Linked DNA regions of Ovis aries. The protein of the gene in region 6 purifies or fractionates together with the protein of the main gene of each other region. This does not show direct contact. Links are inferred from orthologs where the notes say so. Each region holds a gene or a part of one and is shown on either strand. Other genes may lie near its edges. The genes, in order: ACTL6A, EFTUD2, ZNHIT6, tubulin alpha-1A chain, EPC2, RUVBL1 and WDCP.

Region 1 (3,500 bases), on a different chromosome or scaffold from region 6:
CCATATTAGAGTAAGTGATTCCACATTATGTGGAATTTTGCATCTGATTTCCTCCATTTGGCATAAGGCTTTGGGGTTCATCAAAACCCAACTGGTATTTTGACTTGTATCAGTTATTTTGTTTCTTTTATTGTCAAGTAGTATTAATACTTCCTTTTATGGATATAGCACACTGTGTGTACCCATTCATCCAATGATGCACCTTTGGACTATATCCACTTTTCAGTTAATATGGACAATGCTGCTATGAACGTTTGCATTTAAGTATTTGTGTGGACATGGGTTTCAGTTCTCTCGTACTGATACCTAGGAGTGGAACTGTTTGGATTATAAGGTGAATTTATATTTAACCTATTAAGAAACTGTCAAACTATGTTTCAAAGCTGCTGTACTATTTTATGTTCTCTCCCAGAAATAGATATGGAGATTTCAGTTTCTCTATATCCTCATCACACTTGCTATTGTCTGTCTTTATAAAACAGCTATCCTGTGAGTGTGAAGCAGGGTGCTGAGTCTTTAATGTGCTCCCCTAGTAGACCATGGATTTCCCAGGTGGCTCAGTCATAAAGAAACCATCTGCCAATGCAGGAGACTCAGGAGATGCAGGTTCGATGCCTGGGTCAGGAAGAGCCTCTGGAAAAGGAAACGGTAACCCACTCCAGTATTCTTGCCTGGGAAATCCCATGGACAAAGGAGCCTGGGAGGCTACAGTCCATGGGGTCACAAAGAGTTGGATATAACTGAGCACGCATAACAGACTACACACACATGTTCCTCATTGCCGGAAGGTTTAAGCACATCCTTTATGACTACACTGTAAGCTCCTGGAAGCTTGTGCTGGTTTCCTCTGGACTTCACTGCATGCCCTTTTCTTCCTTTTGTCAGTTCTGCTTTGTATCCTTTCGGCATAATAAACCTTAGCTATGGTACCATTACATGCTGAATCTCGTGAATCCTTTTAGTAAATAACTGGACCTAAGAGTGACAGTGGACATTTGCTTTTTAAGGCCATAAAGCTTGCTCCTTCCCTAGTGCATGGTACCCCTTATTCAGTGACTCCAAAAATCTAGGAAACTTTTTTTCAAACTTTTGAAAGTTTAAATTCTCAGCACCATTTGTCCTGGATATCTCAGACAGCCACCTCAGGATCTCTGCCATCAGTGTTAAAATTTAAAACCTCTTCATTTCTCATTTGGACTCACCTCCCTAATTGATCTTCCTGTTTCTAGTATCTCCCTCTAATCATGCCTATGTATTACTGTTAAAATAATCTTTCCATTTGGCATATATGAGCGTTTCACATCTCTGTTTAAAAATTCCTTTGAGGTAACATTTCAGTTAACTGCTTAATATACTGGCATTCCAAGCCCTTTTATGATTGCTCTCTGCCTGCCTTTCCTGAAACCAGCCCTAATGCACCTACTATTATAGCCATACTTAACTGATGACATTCCTAAACATGTAAGTTTCTCCCACAATACCACTCTTCACACATGCTGGCTGCTCTGCTTTACCCAGCCTTGTCAGTCAGGCTAGTTCTTATCCAGTGATCAAGATTCAGCACAGTTAGCTCCTTTGTGAAAACCATCTCTGACCCCCACAGAGTTAAATATCTCTCCTCTGTAACCCCACTGCTTATCAAACACAGTTATATTTATATACACAAATCTAGCTTCTATACCTATAGGTTTGTTAGGAAAATAAACATGTTTTACGCATCTTTGTATTCTCAGTGCCTGGAACATCAGTTCATGGAATAAGAACAAGAAGATAGCTGATGTTCAACTTATAAGCAGCCACTGCTTTATATCTGAAATATACTATACATACTCTACATTTATAATCAAATCCATAGGAAAAAACATACCCATCCCATTTTTCAGTGGGGAGATGGCCTCTGTGTTCTCCCTCGGAACTCGCAGGGCATTCGTGTCTATGTAATAGGTGGGACCGCCTTGTTTGCCCTTATCACCATCGATTTCCATCAGTGTACTTCCATCATCTCTTTCTACCACCATACCAATAGCTGTAGGGAAATCCACCTGGAAGAGTCAAAAACATGATTTACAAGTTTTATATGCTTTTATCAAGGAGTCATTTCCCACCAACTAATATCTTTTACCATATTTGAGTTAGACTTTCTGAGTGAATTTAACTCTGCATGAATGGCTCCTGTATATCCAATTAACTCTAACATTACACTGACCTTGGGACAGTCTTCACCAGCATAACCAGCTCTCACAGTATAGGATCCAATGTCAAAAACAAGGGCTCCAACTTCATCTGAAAAGATGAAAAGATAACCAACATTAACAACTTACAAGTACCATATGAAAATTAAAGAGTACTTAATGTGCTTATATTCATGTTACTACTACTTTGAACCTAGTTTTAAATATGCTTTAAAGACTTATTTAATTAAAATATAGCAAGTCAAATATAGTATATTAGTAGAGGTTCAATCAGCAAAGAGACGATACGCTAAAATTAGGTAATTTAAGGAGAGTTTTTCTCCAAGCCAGGCAGCAATATGTGAACCGTGAACTTCCAGATGGTCAAGCTGGTTTTAGAAAAGGCAGAGGAACCAGAGATCAAATTGTCAACATCCGCTGGATCATGGAAAAAGCAAGAGAGTTCCAGAAAAACATCTATTTCTGCTTTATTGACTATGCCAAAGCCTTTGACTGTGTGGATCACAATAAACTGTGGAAAATTCTGAAAGAGATGGGAATACCAGACCACCTGACCTGCCTCCTGAGAAACCTATATGCAGGTCAGGAAGCAACAGTTAGAACTGGACATGGAACAACAGACTGGTTGCAAATAGGAAAAGGAGTATGTCAAGGCTATATATTGTCACCTTGCTTATTTAACTTACATGCAAAGTAGATGATGAGAAACGCTAGGCTGGAAGAAGCACAAGCTGGAATCAAGATTGCCAGAAGAAATATCAATTATCTCAGACACGCAGATGACACTACCCTTATGGCAGAAAGTGAAGAGGAACCAAAAAGCCTCTTGATGAAAGAGAAAGAGGAGAGCGAAAAAGTTGGCTTAAAGCTCAACATTCAGAAAACTAAGATCTGGTCCCATCACTTCATGGGAAATAGTTGGGGAAACAGTGTCAGACTTTATTTTGGGGGGCTCCAAAATCACTGCAGATGGTGATTGCAGCCATGAAATTAAAAGACGCTTACTCCTTGGAAGGAAAGTTATGACCAACCTAGATAGCATATTGAAAAGCAGAGACATTACTTTGCCAACAAAGGTCCGTCTAGTCAAGGCTATGGTTTTTCAAGTGGTCATGTATGGATGTGAGAGTTGAACTGTGAAGAAAGCTGAGTGCTGAAGAATTGATGCTTTTGAACTGTGGTGTTGGAGAAGACTCTTGAGAGTCCCTTGGACTGCAAGGAGATCCAACCAGTCCATTCTAAAGGAGATCAGTCCTGAGTGTTCTTTGGAAGGACTGATGCTGAAGCTGAAACTCCAATACTTTGGCC
Region 2 (4,119 bases), on a different chromosome or scaffold from region 6:
CCTCCCCTCCACCAGGGCTTGAACCCATGCCCCCTGCAGTAGAAGCATGGAGTCCTACCACTGGACTGCCAGGGAAGTCCCAGCCCACTTGTTTGTTTGTTTTTTTAATACTAAAAGAATTTTAATTTTAAAATAATTAAATACAGGAAGTTGCAAAAACAGTGCACATCACTTTTTCCTAAGTTATTTGAGAATAAGTTGCTGACACAATGTCTCATCACCTCCTCAGACTTTAGTGCAGAAGTTGGTAAACTATAGCCTGTGGCCAAATCTGGCTGTTCTCATAACGGCCTGGAAGGTATGATTTTTAAAATATTTTTAAACAGTTGGAAAAAAAAGTCAAAGGACGAGTGTTTCATGATACATGACAATTAGTTCTATGAAATTCAAATTTCAGTGTCTATGAAAACAGCTTTACTAGAACACAGCCATGCCCCTTTCTTTATACCGTCTGTGACTGCTTTCAGCCTGTAACAGCTGAGTAGCTGCCTCTGAGACTATATGGCCACAGAGCCTAAAATACTTACTATCTGGCCCTTAATAGACAAAGTTTGCCAACCCCTGTTCTTAGCGCACATGATTCCTACAAACAAGGACATTCTTCTGCATAACCACAATACAACCATCAAAATCAGAAAATACTGACACATCACTACACCTAATCCACAGGCCCCCATACAAGTTTCAGAAATTGTTCCACTAATGTCCTGCACAGCAGAGGATTCCATGTTTGCACCTGGCTATCATGTCTTCAGTCTCTTTCAATCTGGAACAATCCTTGGCCTTTCCTTGATTTCTGTGACTTGACGCTTTTGAAGATTACAGGCTAGTGAGTTTGTAGAATGTTCCTGAATTTAAGTTTGTCTGATGTTTCCTCATGATTAGAGTCAAGTTATGCTTTTTTTTTTTGGTAAGACTATCACAGTAGTGAGGCTGTGCTCTTTTCGGTGCAACTCCTAACAAGTGGCATATGATTTTAATTTCTCCCATCAGTGGTGATGTTAACGTAACCACTTGATTGTGGTGGTGTCTACCAGGCTTTTCCACTGTATAAAGTTACTTGTTTTCTCTCCGCAGTTCATAAATATTTCGTGGGCTGTCTCCACTTCAAGTATTGAAATTCTATTCAAAATAACTGTTCAAAGACCATTTCCTTCAAGTCTTCCTTGAGCCTCAATTTCTCACTCACCTATGATGCCACAGCCTTTTGTGTCTTTATCAGCATTTACTTCTGTCATCAACGGTAGTTAACTGCATTAACTACCCTCAACAACAACTCTACAGCTTACAAGTAATAGACAACAGACCAGAGCATGGGTTACTGGTCAGGGCTCTGGAACTGGCAGACCTAGATTTGAATCCAAACTTTGTCACTTAATAACTATGTCACTTTCAGTAAGCCCTTCACCTCTCCAAGCCTGTTTCTTCAATTGGAAAATAAAGTGATTAATTTTCACCACATAAAGCATTATGAGAATTAAAAAAAATAGGCTGTGTAAAGAATTCATCATGATTCCAGGATCAATCAATGTTAACTGGCATTATTTTTTAGCCATTCTTTTGTCTGTTTTATTTGTATTTTTTAGTTAAAAAACTTTTTTGGCCATTCTTGAATACAGGAACCCTGTGCTCCTTGTGCCCATGTGCCAATGCCCAAGACACCACTTCACATGAGTAGGCACTAGATAAATGTTAACTGACCAGAAGGTTCAATTTTGAGATACTGGTATTTCTTCCACAACGGTAATCCCTCCACCTCCTTCAGTGCCCCTTGTGGAGTGCTGACTGTGGATAAAATAGAGAATTAAGAGCTCCACTACTAATAAGTAAATGTGATTTATCACAGAAACTTTCATATGCATATTCTTTTTATTTCCAAAGAGCTATCATCTCTGTGCACATTTCATTCTCCCAAGACACCCATGAAATGACTGCAGAAATTTCTATACAAGGCTGTTCATGAAATAATCCAAGTCATTTCTGCTTCAGGGCCACTGCACTTACTCTTCTCTTCCAAAATGCTCTTCCCTTGGGCATATATACCTTGTTCCTTCATCTCACTCAGGTCTCTACTAAAACAGCACCTTCTCTGAGAAACCTTCCCTTGTCACTCTAAAAAACTCCCCCCCCCCACACACACATTCTCCAACCCCTATTTTCAATGTTTTATTATTTTTATTAACATTTATCATTAGCTGACAAGTATCTTCGTGTATTTACCGTCACCTCTCCAACTACAGTTTAAGCAAGGACTGTTTTTGTTTTCACTTAAAAGGGTGCCTGCCACAAAACAGAACCACTTACTGAATGACGAAATGTATGGCCCCAACAAGGCACAGAGAAGACAGCTGACCTGCCCACAGTTGCACAAAACTAGTGAATTTCGGTACCAAACTTCACTGCAGCTTCCCGCTACAATGCAGGCTCTCAAAGGAACATAGAGTAACGACGGAGGGAGCTTGATAGAGAAGTGAAGGCGGCACAGTTGGAAGAGAGAGTAAGATAGGGGAATAGACACTGCAAGAACGACCCCTGCCCAGGGAAAGGGTTTTATAGACGGACGACACGCAGGGAACCCAGGAATCGGTTGGGGGGTGGGGGGGCTTTCATTCTCTATCCTACTCCACGCCTCAATTTACCCATCTGTAAAGTGAAAGTGGCATATAACACATAGCATCTCTTCCAAATCTGACTAATTTCCCATTCCACCAGAGCAAGCCTCCCCTGACGCTGACCAGCGCCACTCACCTCCCGCTGCTCAGCCAAAAACTCCCAGTCGGCCGCTGGAGATCGTGCTTCCGCCCCACGCCGCCTCACCGCCTGCGCCCGCCGTTCGGAAGGACCCCACAGGCGCCGCGGTTGCGTTTCTTCCCGGGAGGGCAGCCCTCTGCCTGTGGACCAGCTCGGAGGAATCCCGGCTGCGGACACCGGAACCTGAGAAGAGGAACTGTGGGTCCCCAAACCACGGCGTGGGCTGCTCCAGAGAAAGCGAGGCCTGAGGAGGCGTGAATCTGATCAGGCGCCTCGGGGCCACCCTGACTGGGGGCCTTCGGGGCGATCACGTGGGAGGCTGTTGTAGCAGTTGCTGGGCAACCACAGCTGCTGGGCGTGGTCTACGCTGAGCTGACTTCGTCGGGCAGTGTCTGGGCATCCCCAAAGAAAGAAAGGAAACCGAGGCCCCGGCTGCTGGGGTGAAGGTCAGGGGGCAGGAGGATTAGATGTTCTAGATTTTCAGTGACTGGGAAAGGCTTAGAACTAGGCAGGAGTCAGGACACCTGAGTTCAGTTCCTGGCCAGCCCACCCTACTTCTTGGTCTTTCGCTTACCCATGTTAGGGTGGAGGGTTGGTTTTAGGCCTCCTGCTTCCGTGTTGGGGCTTGCCTGGTGGCTCAGACGGTAAAGAATCTGCCTGCAGTGCTGGAGACCTGGGCCAGGAAGATGCCCTGGAGGAGGAAATGGCAACCCACTCCAGTATTTTTGCCTGGGAGATCCCAGGGACTGAGGAGCTTGGTGGGGATGACTTCGCCAAGTGATCTTTAGCAAATAGCTCGGAGCAGTAGTAGTAAGGTTCAGAAAGGTCTCACAGCAGTAAATGCGGATCCAAGATTAAAACTCGTATAGGTGATCTCTATAGAACGAATCAGTCAGCCTCAGACACCCGGAAGTTGCAGAAGTACAGAGACAGAACTAAAGAGGTTGCCCAAGTACCTAGAGATTTATGCTCCAGCCTTGGGCTGGACAGAGGGGTTTGAGAACGGGGATCATTAAGCCCCTTCCTCTGTCGCGTCCACTTGATTTCCTGCTCAGTCATTGCATCTGGTTTCGGGTGGAAAGTATCTTTTCTCCTTATAAGACATTTAAGTATGGGTGCTTCCCTGGTGGCTCAGATCATAAAGAATCTGCCTGCAGTGTGGGAGACCCGGGTTGGATCCCTGGATCGGGAATATAACACTGGAGAAGGGAATGGCAACCCACTCCAGTATTCTTGCCTGGAGAATTTCATGGACAGAGCCGCCTTCTGTTCAGTTCAGTGCAGTCGCTCAGTCGTGTCCAACTCTTTGCGACCCCACGAAGCGCAGCACATCAGGCCTCCCTGTCCATCACCAACTCCCGGAGTCCA
Region 3 (4,177 bases), on a different chromosome or scaffold from region 6:
GGGACGACAGAGGATGAGATAGCTGGATGGTATCACTGACTCGATGGACATGAGTCTGAGTGAATTCCGGGAGTTGGTGATGGACAGGGAGGCCTGCCGTGCTGCGATTCATGGGGTTGCGAAGAGTCAAACACGACTGAGTGACTGAACTGAACTAAACTGAACTAAACCTACTGTTGTCCTCTATCTTTCAGATGCACTTAACTCTATCTGAAATTATATTTGTTCCTGTACTCATCCCCTGTCTCTCCCGCTACAAGTTCCATGAGGGGAAGGACTTAGTTTTGGTCACTGCTGTATCCCTAGCAACTGGAATAGCCCTGGATCATAGTAGCCACTTAATACACTATTTGTTGAGTGCAAAAAGAAAAAAAAGAATCCATTTGACTAGAAGAAATTCTAACTGGGAAAGAACAGAAGAAATACTTACATGTTTATTGCTGATTGGTCTTTTCAAGAAAGCATCTCTAGAAATATGGTCTGCTGTTCTTGCCACATCTTCTAAAAATCGATAATCTACAAATTTAAAAAAAAAACAGAAAAATAAATAAATGATATATGCCTATGGCCAAGAAGCATCAGTCTGCTATACATAAGATGGCTTACCACTTAGGAGATTCATTTCTGTAAACTGTTGTATTGAAACATACGCAGTTTTATCTCGAACTCCATTACATGTTAGTTCTGCTTTGTGTTTCTTTACACAGGGCAAACTGAAGGGACAAAGAGAAGGAACTTTTACCTTTTGAGATTAAAAGGGTACAGGCAGAGATAATAAGGTAGAAATTACATATATACCTGCAGGAATACCGCAAACAACGTGGACATCTGTACTTTGCTTCTTCTGTACCACAAGTTTCACATCTACAAAAGCCCATAAGAAACTTAATAAATTATCAAATATTAATTCTATATATTTATTTATAAACTTTTAATCCATCACAATTCACAGACATGCAGTCACAGTGAATAAAGTAGATGCAAGTAACTCTAATGAAATAATGGACAGCTGTCAAACATTATTAGAAAATTCCCCTCTAGGAAACCATCTCTAAATGACACTACATTTACAATGTTGTTTAATGATAGGTAATTCAAGAAAACATGTACTACATTTAAAAAATTATCTCACTGAGACTTCCTTTTCTAAATAATCAGACAGTGAGATCGTTTATTGATATTTTAACTTTGTAACTCCTGACGCTGTTAACAACTGTGTGTGTGCACATACCCAGAAGTCCAATCCATGAGCTGTGTATATATCTTAAAGGCAGACACATTCAGAAAAAGAAGACCCAGGCAAATTTAGAGAGCAGCAGTTGCATCTTTTTTCCTCAGTTCCTCACGCAACTGAGAATGGGCACCAAAACCCTCTAGAAATACTACTACCCATCATCTGTCTCCAACTGATCTTTCACTTGAGTGACAGTGTACAATGACAATCAAACTACAAACAGACAAGCAAACTACATGTTGGTTCACTGTATTCGAGACAGAAATGGTCCCAAGAATCTGACTACTCTCATGCCACATGATCACACTATAAAGAAATTAAATCAAAAGCAATAAATGTTCACAGTACCCATAGAGAAAAACTAGCCAAGTGAGTGAGTCACAATGTACTTTGCCTAATTTTAACTTACTCCACTTTTCCTTGCTGGTTTTATTAGACTGTTCCTCACACCTATCCTCTCTCAAAGGAATACTGAGCCAAGGGCATACAAAGTCAAGCCAGATTCTGGTCCACGGGTTTTCCGGTCCCAAGAATTTTCACTTCCTAACTTGGCCACTGGACACTAGTACCAACCTCACATATTTCCACAGAATTTGCTGTTATCAGACAAAACCCTCCTTTCCTAATCGCCCCTCCCTCCACCACTCAGACTCCCGGCCCAAACACGCGCTTATTTTTCATTATTCCACACCTTACTGATCGTGTAGTTTCTTTCAACCTAGATAACAAAGGACCTTCACAGCTCTGCCCTACCTTGACATGGCCAGTTTCCGCTTGGAGCCCACTGAGGGATTTATTTGAGGCTCTTCTTTCACCCTTGTATCATCCATCATTTCTTCTTTGGGGGAATACTTCTCTTCTTTTACATACACTTCATCCATTATTTCCTCCTTTTTAATATTCTGATCAAGAGACACTTCCTCACGTTTAATATCCAAGCTATCTTTCTTCTCTTCCTTCACTTCCAGCCAGTCCATCACTTCTTCCTTCACCTTCACTTTCTCTTCCTTTATCTCTGTTTCTTCCACCTTTTCTTCTTTTACCATCAAACTACTATCCATCTCCTGCTTCACCTCCAGTGTGGCTGGTTTTTCCTCTTTCACCTCATGTCCGTCCTCCTCCTGCTTTACCCACTGGCCATTCAGTGTACCTTCTACCATTTCTGACCAGTCCATTACTTCTTGCTTCACAACCGTTAGGGCTATTCGCATCTCCTCTGCTCTTCGTCTACTTTCTTCTTCCCCTGCCCCTGTCTTCTCCATTCCGGTCAGACCATTCTCCGCCCCTCCAGCGCCAGACTCCTCCGTCCTTACTTTCTCTTGATCTGACTCGAGACTTAGCCGCGCCCCCTCAGCTTCACTCTGGAGACCTCCTCCCGACATCTCTTCACTTTCAGCAGCAAAATCCATCATCTCAAGATCCTTGACCTCCGTTGCCACTCCGTCCTTCAATGTGTTTGGTTCACGCCAAGAGGGCTGAGTTACCTGCAAAAACACGAAGAGCTGCCCACGTGCATAACAGAGAAGTAGCAAGCAGTGGACGCCGACCCGGCGCGCCTGTCCCAACGGTCGTAAAGCAACGCTTCCGCACCGTGCCCTTTCACGACTCATGGAGCTCTTTACGGCTCTGCGGCAGTCCCGCCCAGATCTTCCCGGGATCCGTCTGAGACCACGCCCACTTCGATCCCGCTTGCGGGGCGGGGTTTCATCAAACCCTTCCCTTGGAGAGGCGGTGCTTTCTGCACGGGGCCGCATGCTTCCGCTTTAAGAGACCGGAGGAGTTCAGAATAAGGGAGAGAGGCGGAATCCTCGCTACATTCGAATGTGAAGACCTACCCTACTCTGTTCTAAGCTTGCATGAAGATGGAAGAAATACCTAATAGCACTATTCTCCATGCTTCAGTTTCTTAAGCAGTACTCCAGAGACGATGGTATTATAAATCTCTTAGTTTAGTTTGATGTTACGTGTAATAATGTATGGAAATAAGCTAGCAGTGATAAAACAAACAACATATCGTCTCTATTATTACCGGGAGGTTTCAGGTAGAAAGAAGGCATTATTTTTATTCTTTCAGTTATTTGTCAATAACAGCTGGCATCAGCCAGTTCCCTATTTACAGCATATATTTAAAGACTGGGTCAAAAAAATCAGTCTCCAGGATTTCCTAGAACTTATAGGGGAAAAAACCCAAAACAACCCTCAATAAATGAAAATTTTTCTGGCATCCATTTCAGTTACTTTTGTTGTTGTTGTGTTGTTGAGTTGCTAAGTCATTTCCAACTCTTTTGCAAGTCCACCAGGCTCCTCCTCTGTACTCTAGGCAAGAGTACTGAAATTGGTTGCCATTTTCTTCTTTAGGGAATCTTCCCTACCCAGGAGTTGAACTCGTATCTCCAGCGTCTTTGCATTGCAAGTGGATTTTTACCACTGAGCCACCAGTTACTTTTAAAGATTGTTATCACGTACTGATAACCATGATGGTGTGATCACTCACCTAGAGCCAGATATCCTGAAATGTGAAGTCAAGTGGGCCTTAGAAAGCATCACTATGAACAAAGCTAGTGGAGGTGATGGAATTCCAGTTGAGCTATTTCAGATTCTAAAAGATGATGCTGTGAAAGTGCTACACTCAATATGCCAGCAAATTTGGAAAACTTAGCGTGGCCACAGGACTGGAAAAGGTCAGTTTTCATTCTAATCCCAAAGAAAGGCAATGCCAAAGAATGCTCAAACCACTGCACGATTACACTCATCTCACATGCTAGTGAAGTAATGCTCAAAATGCTCCAAGCCAGGATTCAGCAATATGTGAACCGTGAACTTCCAGATGTTCAAGTTGGTTTTAGAAAAGGCAGAGGAACCAGAGATCAAATTGCCAACATCCGCTAGATCATGGAAAAAGCAAGAGAGTTCCAGAAAAACCTCTATTTCTGCTTTATTGAC
Region 4 (4,268 bases), on a different chromosome or scaffold from region 6:
GAATGAGATTGCATTTTGACAGAAACTTTTAAAATGTAGACCTTCCTTAAATTACTCAGCATTTCTTTATTAAAAATATCTTCATGAATATTTATCAAATGACATCAAATAGGCCATATTTTAATTGAACTTTATAAATATCTCTCTTAGGTTCATTAATTTACTTTATTCTTGAGAATACACATACCAGTTTCCGAATTCGGTCCAAGACGAGGTCAATGATCTCCTTGCCAATGGTGTAGTGACCTCGAGCATAGTTGTTGGCAGCATCTTCTTTGCCTGTGATGAGCTGTTCAGGGTGGAAGAGCTGGCGGTAGGTGCCAGTGCGAACCTCATCTGGAAGAGGAAAACGAAGCAGCCACCCATCAATGACCCATACAAGCTCCACCCCAGGGTATCAGTGGAGCCCACAGGACACACCTCCTGTCACAGACCCTCAGGATTCTCATTGAAGCTACTGAGGTCAACTCACCAATGACTGTGGGTTCCAGGTCTACAAACACTGCCCTGGGCACATGCTTGCCAGCGCCTGTCTCACTGAAGAAGGTATTGAAGGAGTCGTCTCCTCCCCCAATCGTCTTGTCACTTGGCATCTGGCCATCGGGCTGAATGCCGTGTTCCAGGCAGTAGAGCTCCCAGCAGGCATTGCCGATCTGGACACCAGCCTGGCCAACGTGGATGGAGATGCACTCACGCTGTGGGAAGGAAAAGAGAAAAATTGTAAAATTAGTTATATTAGCATTTTCAATTTTCAATAAATTTCCAAAATGATTTCTAGTAATATACAAGTATTCTTTGAATTTATTTGAGGTCATATTCCTAACATAATAGAAACAGTTAAAGAAAAGCACTTGCTACAAATGCTGCAGATGGGTGTGGTCTGGATAAGGCTGCACTGTTAAGCACATGGTGCAAGCCGATTGTTCCAACAGCCATACTTGAATAGAAGATTTTTCATATTTAAAAAATAGTCAAGCACAAAATTTTTGTAAAATGAAGTAATTTCAATCACTAGTTAATTGCAATCATTATTACTGCCTCCTTCACCTTTAAAGATGAACATTTTTTTGATAGGACTTGGTATTTCAATATGGACATCTGTACTGCAGCTGAGGCTAGAAGCCACACCCTTCTGCAGTCTGTCTGCAGAATCCATCAGTATTAGGGGGTAGAAGCTAAACAAGGACTGTCTCCTGCACTGCTGCATTTGCTGTGCCTGGTGCCAGCCTGTACTGTCTGCTACATTATTTAACAGAGCAAGCTCTATTTCCAGCAACTGCCTACATGATCTCATTGTGCTATCTGCCAGTTTTCCTCTTCTGACCCAGCCTGGGACCATATGCCTAAACTGAAATGAATTCATGAAGATGCACTAGAACAAAAGACAGCTACACAAAGTATAAGTCTTCTTTGTCTGCAGCATTTTCATTATTTAAAAAAGTTTTCCCAGAATCTTCTCCTCTGCAAAAAACTGAAAAAGTATTAGTATCTTTAAAACAACAGTTCCTAAACTAGAAATAAATAGAACATGAAAAGCTACCAAGCTTAAAGCCCAGTGAAATAATTAAATATTTATATAAAACAACAAAATAATGTTTTCATTCTGAAATTTCGTACCCACCACAGAATACTCATGCTCATTACATTCAGTAGAGTGTCCCCTCCGTAGCCTTTACGGTTACAACTTCCTTTGTCTGTCCATTGTCTAGTCACTGACAAACGGGGGCTGGGGGCGGGGAAGGGCGTTTCCCTGGGTCCTCTGCATTAGAGCACCCTGGCTCACAAAATCGGCTTTTTCTCTCGCTGAACATGCGATCAAGACAGACACACAGGAGTCAGCCAGGGCGGGGCGGCCCCAGACCAGACGTTAAAGGGCTTGTCATGTGAACTGTGACTTTGCTCCTCAAAAAAAAAAAAAATCTAAGTTTTGACAGTGAATGAAAAACCTTTTAACGCCTACGGTTCTGTAAAGATGAAAGGCTTGTTAAAAGTCTTTCTGACAGAGGAGGCTTAGTGAGGACGAACCCCTCCCAGCGGCTCCAAGGCGAGAGAAGCAGAAACAAACAACTCCGCCCCTGCGCCGCCTCGACGCCGGCCGCCACAGAAACTAACCATTTTGCCTGTTAATACATGGGTGTCTTTCTAAAACACCAACGAACTGGCGAGGGATCCTTTTTTTTTAATACTAACCTCAGGCTCCGCTTTGTCCCTTTCCTTCTCTCCCCGAGTCTTCTTCCCAGCTACACCCACCGACCCCCGTCTTTTCGGTCGACGAATCCTCTCCCTGTCCCTGGGGAACAACGCGAGGAAGGGCTTCTCCGAGTCACACGACTATCGTGCGCACACGGGGGCCGAGCAGGCGACGCCAAGACCGCCCTGCCTGCCCCAGCCCCTTTCTTGACCGACAGATGGGCTGCTGCACGCGGCTGCCAGGGACTTGGGTAACAAAACCTCCCTAGGCGCCGCCTTTGTTCCCCCTCACTGCTCAGCCGCGCCCTGGACTCAGTCGTGGTGGGGCTCCTGCACCCCGCACTGCGGCGGGGAGTCCGGCCGCAGACAAAGCCAAAACTCGCAAATAAAATGTAAAGCTACTCTTACCCATCGAGTTGTAAAGGACAAAGGTTTTAAGATTTTCCAAGGAGACCCTGGGGAGGCTGACCCCACCCAGCGTCACAAAGAGCCGGAGGAGACACTCTTACCATAGTTGCTGTTTTGCGGCTGCCGAGCAGATGGCGGAGAGGAGAAGAGGTTGTTACTTCTTACAGCGCGACTCTTAGGCGGTCGATGTAAGAGAACCTGCGGCACATGGGCGTCTGAGGCTCCCTATATACAACTCGGTCACCATGGGGATGGGCTGGGGCCTTTTCCTGTTGGTCCAGACCCCTCAATCTGCCCAGAGGAGCCGCGACAGAAGAGTGGTGATTGGTGCATGCGACATGGGATGAGGTAATCTCTCCCCCACCCCTTTTCCCCTAGCATCCATAGACTGCTTGCATCCTTCAGACAAAGAGACCGAGCAAAAACAGTCAGCCGAGCATCCATTACGGGGTGGGGTTGGGAAGGGGTGGGGGGAGGGAGGGAAAGAGAACTGGAGTTGGGTGACTTTATATTGTTTAAACCTCAAACTGCTGTTAAAATCATCAATGTAAAGGTTTTCCTCCCAGCATTTAATCGCAGAATTTGAGATGAAATATTTTAATAGAAAATTACTTTCAGCTTCTCCCTCAGAGTGTGCTAAACCCACATTTGGTGAAGATTCAGTATCTCTAGTGCTTTAAAAATAAAGTAGAAGAGAAGATGGGAATGATGCTTAAAATGGCTTGGGTAAATGTGTTTTGTTTTGTTTTGTTTTTTTAATTAAAAAATTATTCAATAACCATCCAAAATGGTTTCTCAGGTTCAAGTAATTTTTTTTCAGACCTTCTTTTGCCACCCTCTCCCTAAAAGCTAAACAAAAACACTAGATGAAAAGAACAATCAATCTATGGAAGCACACAAGTAGTTCTAACATGAAGATAATTCAGATCTAATGAACACACCATACTTACTCTACTGGAAATATTCCAGAAGTCTATGTTAATATATTTTATGTCGTGTATTGTTGCTTAAAATGATCATCTTTTCTAATATAGAATTGAGAAAATACAAGGAGAGAGAATTGAGTTTAGACGCTAGTACTACCTGTGCATGCAGTTATATTCTGCATTGTTCTCTCTTCTGGAAAGAGAAAATTACTGGGATACCACATTAGAAAGGAAGAGAGTTGTATAGTGTGAAAAAGAAGACTATTTTGTAATATTGTCTCCTTCCGTAGACAACTGTGTAGATGTCACCTCAATAACTGCATTTTTTTTTAATGTAAATCTTATGTGAATTCAGTAAATTCTCCTCCTCTAAGATTGGGCTTCAAACTGTGGGAATTGTAGCCAGCCTCATACAGCTGCTATTCAGTCAGAGACACTGGTGGTTGCTCAACTGCCTCTTGGGACAAAAGGCTTTGCTTAAGGAAGTGGAGTGCAGTAACATTCTTTTGCTACTCAGAAAGCTTCCATTATCAACAAGGATGTACAGTGCAGAATATGCCTCTGGACTGGGTACCATTTGACGTTGCTAATGAAATTTCAGAGGTAAAGAGGTTTGCTGTGGCCCCTGAAGTTGAAAATATGCATTTTGGCAGATAATTTTTCCTTTTGGCTTTTAGCAAGAGATTTTCAGGGTCGGCAGCACCATTTATAGTGCTCTGCAGAATCCATTCATTCCTGCTGGGC
Region 5 (3,500 bases), on a different chromosome or scaffold from region 6:
ATCAGGTGGCCAAAGTACTGGAGTTTCAGCTTCAACATCAGTCCTTCCAATGAACACCCAGGACTGATCTCCTTTAGGATGGACTGGTTGGATCTCCTTGCAGTCTAAGGAGCTCTCAAGAGTCTTCTCCAATACAACAATTCAAAAGCATCAATTCTTCGGCACTCAGCTTTCTTTATAGTCCAACTCTCACATGCGTACATGACTACTGGAAAAACCATAGCCTTGACTAGACAGACCTTCATTGGCAAAGTAATGTCCCTGCTTTTTAATATGTTGTCTAGGTTGGTCCTAATTTTGCTTCCAAGGAGTAAGCGTCTTTTAATTTCATGGCTGCAGTCACCATCTGCAGTGACTCTGGAGCCCCCAAAAATAAAGTCTGCCACAGTTTCCATTCTTTGCCCTTCTATTTGTCATGATGTGATGGGACCAGATGCCATGATCTTAGTTTTCTGAATGTTGAACTGTAAGCCAACTTTTTCACTCTCCTCTTTCACTTTCATCAAGAGGCTCTTTAGTTCTTCTTCACTTTCTGCCATAAGGGTGGTGTCATCTGCATATCTGAGGTTATTGATATTTCTCCTGGCAATCTTCATTCCAGCTTGTGCTTCTTCCCGCCAGGGTTTCTCATGATGTACTCTGCATGTAAGTTAAATAAGCAGGGTAACAATATACAACCTTGATGTACTCCTTTTCCTATTTAGAACCAGTCTGTTGTTCCATGTCCAGTACTAACTGTTGCTTCCTGATCTGCATACAGATTTCTCAAGAGGCAGGTCAGGTGGTCTGGTATTCCCATCTCTTTCAGAATTTTCCAGTTATTGTGATCCACACAGTCAAAGGCTTTGGCTTAGTCAATAAAGCAGAAATAGATGTTTTTCTGGAACTCTCTTGCCTTTTCGATGATCCAGTGGATGTTGACAATTTGATCTCTGGTTCCTCTGCCTTTTCTAAAACCAGCTTGAACATCTGGAAGTTCACGGTTCATGTATTGCTAAAGCCTGGTTTGGAGAATTTTGAGCATTACTTTACTAGCGTGTGAGATGAGTAAAATTGTTAGGTAGTTTGAGCATTCTTTGGCATTGCCTTTCTTTGGGATGGAATGAAAACTGACCTTTTCCAGTCCTGTGGTCACTGCCCAGTTTTCCAAATTTGCTGGTATATTGAGTGCAGCACTTTCACAGCATCATCTTTAGAATTTGAAATAGCTCAACTGGAATTCCATCACCTCCAACAGCTTTGTTCTTAGTGATGTTTCCTAAAGGCCCACTTGACTTCACATTCCAGGATGTCTGGCTCTTACTATTTTTACACTTCTAAGAATCCTGCTGTCTAAAGTCATATTAGGTATTAATCCATTTCAGCTTCAAAAGGTCATTAAACTTCACAGACTCATGAACTTTATATAATGGGATACCATTTTCCTTACCTAAGTTCATTTGGGAGAAAATTAACCAACTAAGTTGGAGAAATGATATGGCAGCTTCCAATCATGCAAACAAATCCAATTTTCCATAACAACCTCTAAATAGACAAATGTGTAAGTAAAGTTTGAAAATAAACAGCTCAGTAATTAAAAAGGACTGAACACTATTGAGACAAAATTTCAACCTAAAATGATTTAAAATCACTTTGAAGAAGTATAACACATCAATTTTATATAGTAAAATACACTGTCCAGGAAATAATTTAGAAATAAATACATTTTACAGAAAGAAAGGATATCAACAGTTTAAGTCAAGCCACGTCTAGCTTTGCCTTTGTATACCATGCATTTTTTGCAATTTATACATTATAAAGACATTCACAAGTTATACACTTATATATATGTGATAAAGAGAAGACTATCCACAGAAGAAAACAAATAAAAATTACATCTTAAGAGTCTCTAGATGTTACACATTATTCACAATGCCAAGGTATATTAATTTTAGTACAATGTCTCTTAAAACGTAAAATACTTCTTGATCTCAATTAGAGAGGTATATTATCAGACCAAAACTACATTTTTCAGAAAGAAAGCTTTAATGGCATTTCTGAGGGGCAATGCTTACATTTAAGCAAAGTCGATACAATAAATGAAAGCGAAAGGAAAAGAGGCTTCCCTGTTGGCTCAGATGGTAAAGAATCTGCTTAAAATGCGTGAGACCCGGGTTTGATCCCTGGGTCTGGAAGATCCCCTGGAGAAGGAAATGGTAACCTACTCCAGTATTCTTGCCTGGAGAATTCCATGGACAGAGGAGCCTGTCAGGTTAGTGTGTTAAGCTTTCTATAACAAAAACACTTTTGTGCTATGATGATCTAATAGTAGCTAATAATCACTCTGCCCAGAGAGAATTCTCTACACATTCTCCCTACACACTCACCATACCAGGCACACACATTCAAAGTGAGTGGTTTTACAGGTATTGGTTTGGAACTTTTGGTTAAAATGCAAACCACAATAATAGAGTTTAGTTTCCTACATTGGGGGGAATTGTTAAGCTACAATTCCTTTCCTCAGTAGGATCATGAAAATAAACCTTCAAAATTCATCCTGAAAGACTAGTGGATAATGAAAAATTAAGAAGAGAAGAGGATATACTTTTAACAAGTAGCAACTTACCTGATATGCCATTCTTGCTGGTGTTCAATAAAGCTACAGATGCTGCAGAAACTCTTCTATTGTTCACAGTCTGCCCTGGTTTTCTTGAGGTACATTCTTCACTATCACTGTCCTGTAAATTTAGTAGCCTTGGCTGGAAACACTGTAGTCGACACGATCTGATATTGCTTAATATTTCAGAAAGGGACAGTCTATTTTCACAATGTTTATTGGAAGCATTGGTCCGAGAGAAATTAGAAGAAAAGTCTATATTTTGGGAAGCGCTTGAAAAACCATTCAGCATTTCAGGGTCTATCTGTTTCAGGACTGGGTCATGTTCTGTGGCTATCCGGTCCATTATGACCCTGAAAAACAATATAAAGCCAAATATTACCTAGAAGAACTTAATAACATTTTCTTAATACTGTCCCCTTCCATCTTGTAAACAAATACCATGTCAAAACGAACAGTTTACCTTCCACCTCTGCCAATTCGCCTTCTTGCAAATCCTATACATCGTCTTGGGACTGTGAGTGTTGTAAGACAATGCCTGTATCTTAACTTATCCAAATCTGCCAATTCTGAATTTCCAAATGAACGGTTAGTTTGGTCCAAACGAGGCTGCACAAAAGGGAAGGAAAAATTGAAACTCATAGAATAATTCTGAAATGAAGAAAAGTTAAATCATGATAAAAATAAACTACAGTATTAGCAGAACAATTAAAATTTAGATATAAAAATTTAAAATCGGGATTTAAATGTTAACCAGGTTAAATTCTATAAAACTGATAAAGAAGTTCACTCATCAAAATAAACTAAATTTTTATGACTATCAATACATTTAAGATATATTTTAAAAGAAATATATTTAAAGAACAATGTGGCTTCTAACATTTATGTAGAAGAGTTGCTATTC
Region 6 (3,500 bases):
TCGTCACCGTCACCGCTGTCTTCTGGTCTTGAAGGGACGGCAGCTTGGACCAGGTCCAGGCCAGCCAGGGCCTGGCTCCCCGGGCAGCATCTGGAAACGGCACCTGGCCTGGAGAGCCCGGTGTCCGGCCACACAGGCGCCGCGTATGTTTTCTGGGCTCGCTTTGGTGGGGCCTGGCTTCAGGGTGACAGTGGGCAGAGGGGCCCAGCCTGGACAGCTGGCGCCCCCTGCTGAGGGAGCCCCGCGGCCAGAGCCCACCCCGGCCGAGAGCTCTCAGGGTCAGAGTCCTCTTCGCCTCCTGCCGTCTAGGGAAAAAAGAGGCACGGGAGGGTGGCCGTGACCTCAGAACCCACCCAGTGGGGCCTGGGGAACTTGGCCCCAGCCCCATCCAGAAGGATGTGTGTTCCAGAAACCATTTTCTCTAATACGTTGTCTGAAAGAAATTTTGTGCCTCAGAGTCCGAGCTTGAACACATTTCCACAGTCTTTGGTCTTTAATTCCTGAGAAGTGCTTAGTATTTCTTAAGCAGAGTTTTTGTTTTTGTTTTCTGTTAAAATTTTTAGTTTTATGGACTTAAAACCAAAAGAAGATTTTAACACATGTTGACAAATTCTGTTCCTTCGTGTTTTTTTCCCATTTTTTTTTCTTTAGACTTTTATATTCACTGTCTCTGAAATGAAGATAATTTATCATGAGTGTTATAGAAGTGGGGATGTTTCAAGATGGCGGATTGAGATCGTTTAAACTTTCCCAGGAGAATATCTAAGTAGAAAGAGAAAAATACAGCCTACACAGAATCAAATAACTGAAGATTAAATGAGGTTTTAGAGGTTATTTTGTTTAATATGACGATTACAGGTATACCAAATACTGAGTTTAATCATGACAGAATTTTTTCCTTACAATTCTTTATTTTTTTTAGAAATATTTGTTGGTGAAAAAGATTCATTTTTTTCTAGTGGCTTCTTAACATTTTGCATTTGCTACTAGTCTGTTTCCTTTTTTGTTTGAAAAGGTCTTAATTATTTTTAAGTATTAGATTTAGCAATGATTAATGTAGCATTTTATTATTTTATTTTTTCATTGTGGTAAAATGCATAGAACATAGTTTGCCGCTTTAGTTACTTTTAAGTGTTGGGGAGGCCAGAACTGGGGGCCTGCTGCTGTGGCCTGCTCAAGTGGAGGCAGGAGCCCCCGGCTCAGCTCGCTGGGCTTCCAGACGCGGCTGAAGCCTAACACGTGCCGCAGGGTCTGCCTGGGACACAGCCCGCTGGGAGCTGGTGCTGTTCAACCCGGTGGGGTGGCCAGTCACTGGTTTGGCTAAGGATTCGAGAGAGAGACAGGCAAAAGTTATGATGGGACAGTTCCCCAAAAGAAATAAATAACTGATGGACACGAGGGAAGGCCTTCAGACGATTCATGAATAATCAAGGACGCGCAGAGTCAGATGCGGTGCTAGGCCTTCCTTTTCCTAGAACTTTAGGCAGCAAACTGTGAGGCTGCTCAGCGCTGGCCACAGTGTCGGGGGGCCAGATCGCTCGCGCGGCTGCAGACGTGAGCACATTCCTTGGTTCAGCCGTCCATGTGTTTAGGGAGATGTTCAGGGTTGTGTCCGGCTCTGTGAGAGATGCTGAGGAAGTGTTCATGGCAGTTATGCCTAAGACACCGTTAGTTATAACAGTAACACTAGGGACCACTACGTGAATGCCCTGTAGTTTGGGTCCAGTGAGACTCGTCATGGGCTGTTTATACTGAAACAACAGGGACAGGAGCGGCCCAAACGGATCTGCACACTTAGGGTGGCGCGCGGGGGTGGCAGATGCCGCTGTGAACAGCCTCGCCGCGGCTGCAGTTGGCCTTCTCCTCCTCCCCCGACTCCCCGTGGTGGTGATACTCGCAGAAACAATGGCGTGGTTTCTGATGCCACCCGAGTGAGTCTGTCCTCGCGGTCCTGCTTCTGACTCTCAGGACGAGAACTAGCTGCTTTGTTATCACCGGGGCCTCGGCCATGGTTCCACTGTCCAGAGAGGCCCGAGTGACCTGGACCTTGTCGGCCTTGCAGGGGCACGGAGGACGTCACCTCTCCTCACGGCATCCCTCTCGACCTTCTGGACCGAGTGATGATCATCCGGACCATGCTGTACACCCCGCAGGAGATGAAGCAGGTGGGCCGCGCCGCCCCTCCTCCCCGCCCTCGCTCGCCCTCGGGCCCCTGACACCGGGCAGGACGGAGCCCGTGAGTGTCTCTGGCCCCCCACCGCCCCCCACGGCGCTGCCGGCCGAGGGCGTGTCTCCGTGCTCCCCAGCCTTGGCCCACCTGAGTGACGCGAGCCAGCAGGGCGTTGCCTCCCGTGTCCCAGCGGCTCAGCTGCCGGGAGTCCTGGCGGTCCTCTCTTCTACCCCATCCCGCCTGGTAACCTTAGGACGTGGGAAAACCAACTGGAGGACCACCAGTAAGCAGGCCCCAGCTCAGAGAGGCAGCAGAGCGCCCCTCAGTGATGGGCCCGCCCAGGCGCCAGCCCGCCGGAGCCTGCGGCAGCCTGGCTCCCGCGGGCAGAGCCCAGGCCCCAGCAGAGGCAGTGTGGGTGGCGGCCGTGGAGTGACGCTCGCAGGGAAGGTGTGCAGGGGCACGCCGAGCTCACGGCGGCTCCGCCTGTGCTGAATCAGGAGAGGTGACGGGCCGCGGGACTGGCCTCGTCCGCAGGGCGCAGCCCCAGCTCTCCTTGCAGAGTCGGAGCCGCAGCCACATGCCCGCAGCGCCCGCAGCCTTGGCAGCCCCGTCCCTTCTGGGCCTTCCGAGCCATCCTCTCCCCCGGTGCTGGCTGAGCCCTAAGTGGCGATTCCAGGACACAAAGCCGGCCGTGTGCTGCGGGGCCCAGCCATCTGCTCTGCCCACCCTGACCCCAGACAGTCTCGCTGGGGCATAGGTCTCACTGTGGGTCCCCGTACAGCCACAGCTGGGGACCTGGGGTGCCCAGGGCCGCACTGACATCCGGGGGACTCTGCCAGACCGTCTCCTCCAGAGCACTCTCGGATGGGGTACTGAGTCGTTTGATCCCGTCACTCAAGGTAGGGCAGACAGTTACTACTGATGTTCTTAAAGAGCGGGTGCTGAGATGTAGACTGGTTAGCTTGCCCGGGTTCACATGGCCCATCTGTGGCAGGACTGGGACTGGGACCCAGGCTGTCTCATCCTGAAGCCCCTTACCTGATGTCTCTGCCACCAGCCTCCTCCCTGTGAGAAATGTCCCGTCTGGGAGGCAGTCTCTGTGGCAATTGGCCAGCAGGCTGCTCCTTTCGGAGCTCAGAGGGCCTCTCCTGGACCCTCCGCAGCAGCACCCCGCCTGCCTGTGGCCTGTCTGGCCTGGCCTTGCGTGTCCTGTGGACCAGCGCCCAGGAGGCCCGTGACGTGTAGAGCCAGCGCTCTCCCTGCGTGACGGCATGGCTCAGACCCCAGGTGGTTGAGCACCGTGGCGGCAGCAGCTGGGTGGGAGGTGGGG
Region 7 (2,494 bases), on a different chromosome or scaffold from region 6:
TGAGCTCGTGTGTGCATGTGTGCATGCTGGTGTTAGGGGGTGTGGATGGTGTCCCTACCTTTTCTAATGCCATCTAGTAGTTTCTCCAGAAACTACACAAAGCTGGCAACAGCAACTCTATGGAGGACAAGTCTATATTTTTGAGATCCATGCCAGCCTCTAGACACCCAAGGAGGTTGAGCTGACTAGCGCCAGGCTAGAAATGCCCAGATAATCCTAAATAGTTTGTTCTGAGGTAACCTAGGACCACTGGTATAACACATACCTGGACTTTTTCTGGTTCTTTTGAGTCTACTGTGACCCTGTAATTTCACTTTTGAAAATCTACACTTTCCAAAAATGTATAAAATACAGAAAGGTTTTTATTAGTGTTATTGATGATAATGAAAAATTGGAAACCACTTAAATGTCAAAGAAAACAAGGCAAACTGAAATATGGTATTAAGAGAGTAAATACTGCTCATCACAAGGAAAAAGTTTTTCTGTCTATATGAGATGATGGCTCTTCACTAACTTACATGATGTATTAAGTCAAATTGTTATGTTGTACACTTTATAGCACTGTATGTCAATTGTATCTCAATAAAACTGGAAGGAAAAAAAATATGGTATATCCAAGACAGAATATTAACCCAGTAAAAATTACAGTTATCAAGTCGTATCATAAATGCATGTATCAAAATAGAAAAATGCTGATGCTACAAACGTTTAGCAGGAAAAAAAAATGAAATTAAAAAAAAACTTTATGTTTAGCGTGTGGCTGTCCTGAAGACTGAGGCATAAGAAAACCACCATGTTGCCCATCAGATGGAACACAGGCATGAGTCAGTCCTAAGGCATCTAGGAGAGTCCTTCATGTGCACGTATGCTGCATATTAAAATGACAGCTCCTAAACAGACATAGAGAAGAGACTTATGGACATGGGGAGAGGGGAGGAGAGGGTGAGATGTATGGAAAGAGTAACATGGAAACTTACATTACCATATGTAAAATAGATAGCCAACAGGAATTTGCTGTATGGCTCAGTAAATTCAAACGGGGGCTCTGTATCAATCTAGAGGGGTGGGATGGGGAGGGACATGGGGGGGAGGTTCCAGGGAGGGGATATATGTATACCTATGGCTGATTCATAGGTTTGACAGAAAGCAGCAAAGTTCTGTAAAGGCATTATCCTTCAATAAAAAAAATAAATTAAAAAAAAAATGACAATGCCTTTAAGAAATATTCTATGGGAGTTTCCTGGTGGCCGAGTGGTTAGGATTCCAGGCTGTCACTGCTGTGGCCTGGGTTCAATCCCTGGTTGGGGAACTGAATCCCCACAAGCTTCAAGGCGCGGCCCCCAAAAAGAAAGAAAACAATAAGGTCCTACTGTATAGCACAGAGAACTATATTCAGTGTTCTGTGATAAACCACAATGGGAAAGAATATTTTGAAAAAAGAATATAGGAACTTCCCTAGCCATCCAGTGGCTAAGACTTCCCCTGCAGCAGACAAGGGTTCAATCCCTAGCTGGGGAACTAAGATCTCAGATCTCATATGGCATGTGGTGTAGCCCCCAAATTAATAAACAGATGAAAGAATGTGTGTGCACAGAGCCCCGCCCCCCGCCACACACACAAAAGAAATATTCTGCGATGCTTTTTATGTTTTAATGCAACTACTACATATGAGGTTTTCTGTCATTTCCTGCAGTTGTTACGTATTGCTTTGCAACTCTATTTAGTTTTTTCATGTGTGCACTCAGGTTTTTCAACTAGGTTGCAAGTTCCTTAAGGGCAGAACCCATATTTTCTGTGTGTTTCGGCACCTATAACAGGCCTAGATATACAATAACAATTAATAATACTTTTTAACTGTCTACTGAATCACTAAATGGTTGGTACACCTCATTTTCATCACCAGTGACAGTCACAAAATTGAGGGAGGGGATATCGGGTAGAGTCGCCTTCTGAATTTTACCTACCATGCAGCATTTCAACAAGAGAGAGGCCGAAAGTCTGTTGGACTGTGCTGAGTCTTAGCTTGCCATTGCAGAGAAGCATCATTCTTTTTTCAACAACAGGACGTACAAAATGACATTTCTTCAAAAATAAAGATAAAAATTGTTAAACTGATTGCAGAAGCAATGGGGTTAACATTTCTTAAGAATAGAATGTACAGTTTAACAAATTCTTATCTATTACCACTATCAACTTCAGTGTTAATAAGGAGCTTTTTGCTGCATTATTTTGCACAACTAAAGCAACAGACAAGATACAACCCCAAATTTCCTTTTGCTCTGTTCCTCCCCAAGGTTATGTCTTTATCTCTAGGAATTGGTTTTTCTAGGATGAGACTAATAGCTTTATAGGATGATGGATGGCAGCATGAGAAAGACAATCAGATGGTGAGGAAAAACTGCTTGGCTGTTTTAGAAACAGGCATACCTCAGAGATTGCAGATTTTGGTTCCAGGCCACTGAAATAAAGTGAGCCACATGAAGTTTTTTGGTTT

The links.
Region 1: the proteins of RUVBL1 (region 6) and ACTL6A purify together in Homo sapiens (affinity purification with mass spectrometry; 10 studies listed by BioGRID and IntAct, counting the BioPlex papers as one, with this or other methods). This does not show direct contact. The link is inferred for Ovis aries from reciprocal best matches to the Homo sapiens genes RUVBL1 and ACTL6A.
Region 2: the proteins of RUVBL1 (region 6) and EFTUD2 purify together in Homo sapiens (affinity purification with mass spectrometry; 4 studies listed by BioGRID and IntAct, with this or other methods). This does not show direct contact. The link is inferred for Ovis aries from reciprocal best matches to the Homo sapiens genes RUVBL1 and EFTUD2.
Region 3: the proteins of RUVBL1 (region 6) and ZNHIT6 purify together in Homo sapiens (co-immunoprecipitation; 3 studies listed by BioGRID and IntAct, counting the BioPlex papers as one, with this or other methods). This does not show direct contact. The link is inferred for Ovis aries from reciprocal best matches to the Homo sapiens genes RUVBL1 and ZNHIT6.
Region 4: the proteins of RUVBL1 (region 6) and tubulin alpha-1A chain purify together in Homo sapiens (affinity purification with western blotting; 3 studies listed by BioGRID and IntAct, with this or other methods). This does not show direct contact. The link is inferred for Ovis aries from reciprocal best matches to the Homo sapiens genes RUVBL1 and TUBA1A.
Region 5: the proteins of RUVBL1 (region 6) and EPC2 purify together in Homo sapiens (co-immunoprecipitation; 3 studies listed by BioGRID and IntAct, counting the BioPlex papers as one, with this or other methods). This does not show direct contact. The link is inferred for Ovis aries from reciprocal best matches to the Homo sapiens genes RUVBL1 and EPC2.
Region 7: the proteins of RUVBL1 (region 6) and WDCP purify together in Homo sapiens (affinity purification with mass spectrometry; 6 studies listed by BioGRID and IntAct, counting the BioPlex papers as one, with this or other methods). This does not show direct contact. The link is inferred for Ovis aries from reciprocal best matches to the Homo sapiens genes RUVBL1 and WDCP.

The regions. Positions count from the first base shown.
Region 1 is NC_056054.1:208,331,245-208,334,744, forward strand, and holds part of ACTL6A (actin-like protein 6A), read right to left. Parts: intron 2,284-3,500; coding exon 2,207-2,283; intron 2,043-2,206; coding exon 1,868-2,042; intron 1-1,867.
Region 2 is NC_056064.1:44,341,667-44,345,785, forward strand, and holds the start of EFTUD2 (116 kDa U5 small nuclear ribonucleoprotein component), read right to left. Parts: upstream 2,801-4,119; 5' UTR 2,749-2,800; exon of another isoform or gene 1,702-2,748; intron 1-1,701. UniProt on the Homo sapiens protein: Required for pre-mRNA splicing as component of the spliceosome, including pre-catalytic, catalytic and post-catalytic spliceosomal complexes. Component of the U5 snRNP and the U4/U6-U5 tri-snRNP complex, a building block of the spliceosome.
Region 3 is NC_056054.1:62,750,581-62,754,757, forward strand, and holds the start of ZNHIT6 (box C/D snoRNA protein 1), read right to left. Parts: upstream 2,801-4,177; 5' UTR 2,647-2,800; coding exon 1,988-2,646; intron 865-1,987; coding exon 799-864; intron 714-798; coding exon 607-713; intron 517-606; coding exon 431-516; intron 1-430. UniProt on the Homo sapiens protein: Required for box C/D snoRNAs accumulation involved in snoRNA processing, snoRNA transport to the nucleolus and ribosome biogenesis.
Region 4 is NC_056056.1:137,067,846-137,072,113, reverse strand, and holds the start of tubulin alpha-1A chain, read right to left. Parts: upstream 2,801-4,268; 5' UTR 2,703-2,800; coding exon 2,700-2,702; exon of another isoform or gene 2,191-2,699; intron 696-2,190; coding exon 473-695; intron 337-472; coding exon 188-336; intron 1-187. UniProt on the Homo sapiens protein: Tubulin is the major constituent of microtubules, a cylinder consisting of laterally associated linear protofilaments composed of alpha- and beta-tubulin heterodimers.
Region 5 is NC_056055.1:160,788,409-160,791,908, forward strand, and holds part of EPC2 (enhancer of polycomb homolog 2), read right to left. Parts: intron 3,206-3,500; coding exon 3,060-3,205; intron 2,950-3,059; coding exon 2,606-2,949; intron 1-2,605. UniProt on the Homo sapiens protein: May play a role in transcription or DNA repair.
Region 6 is NC_056072.1:59,415,849-59,419,348, forward strand, and holds part of RUVBL1 (ruvB-like 1), read left to right. Parts: intron 1-2,062; coding exon 2,063-2,165; intron 2,166-3,500. UniProt on the Homo sapiens protein: Possesses single-stranded DNA-stimulated ATPase and ATP-dependent DNA helicase (3' to 5') activity; hexamerization is thought to be critical for ATP hydrolysis and adjacent subunits in the ring-like structure contribute to the ATPase activity.
Region 7 is NC_056056.1:31,711,822-31,714,315, forward strand, and holds part of WDCP (WD repeat and coiled-coil-containing protein), read right to left. Parts: intron 2,083-2,494; coding exon 1,965-2,082; intron 1-1,964.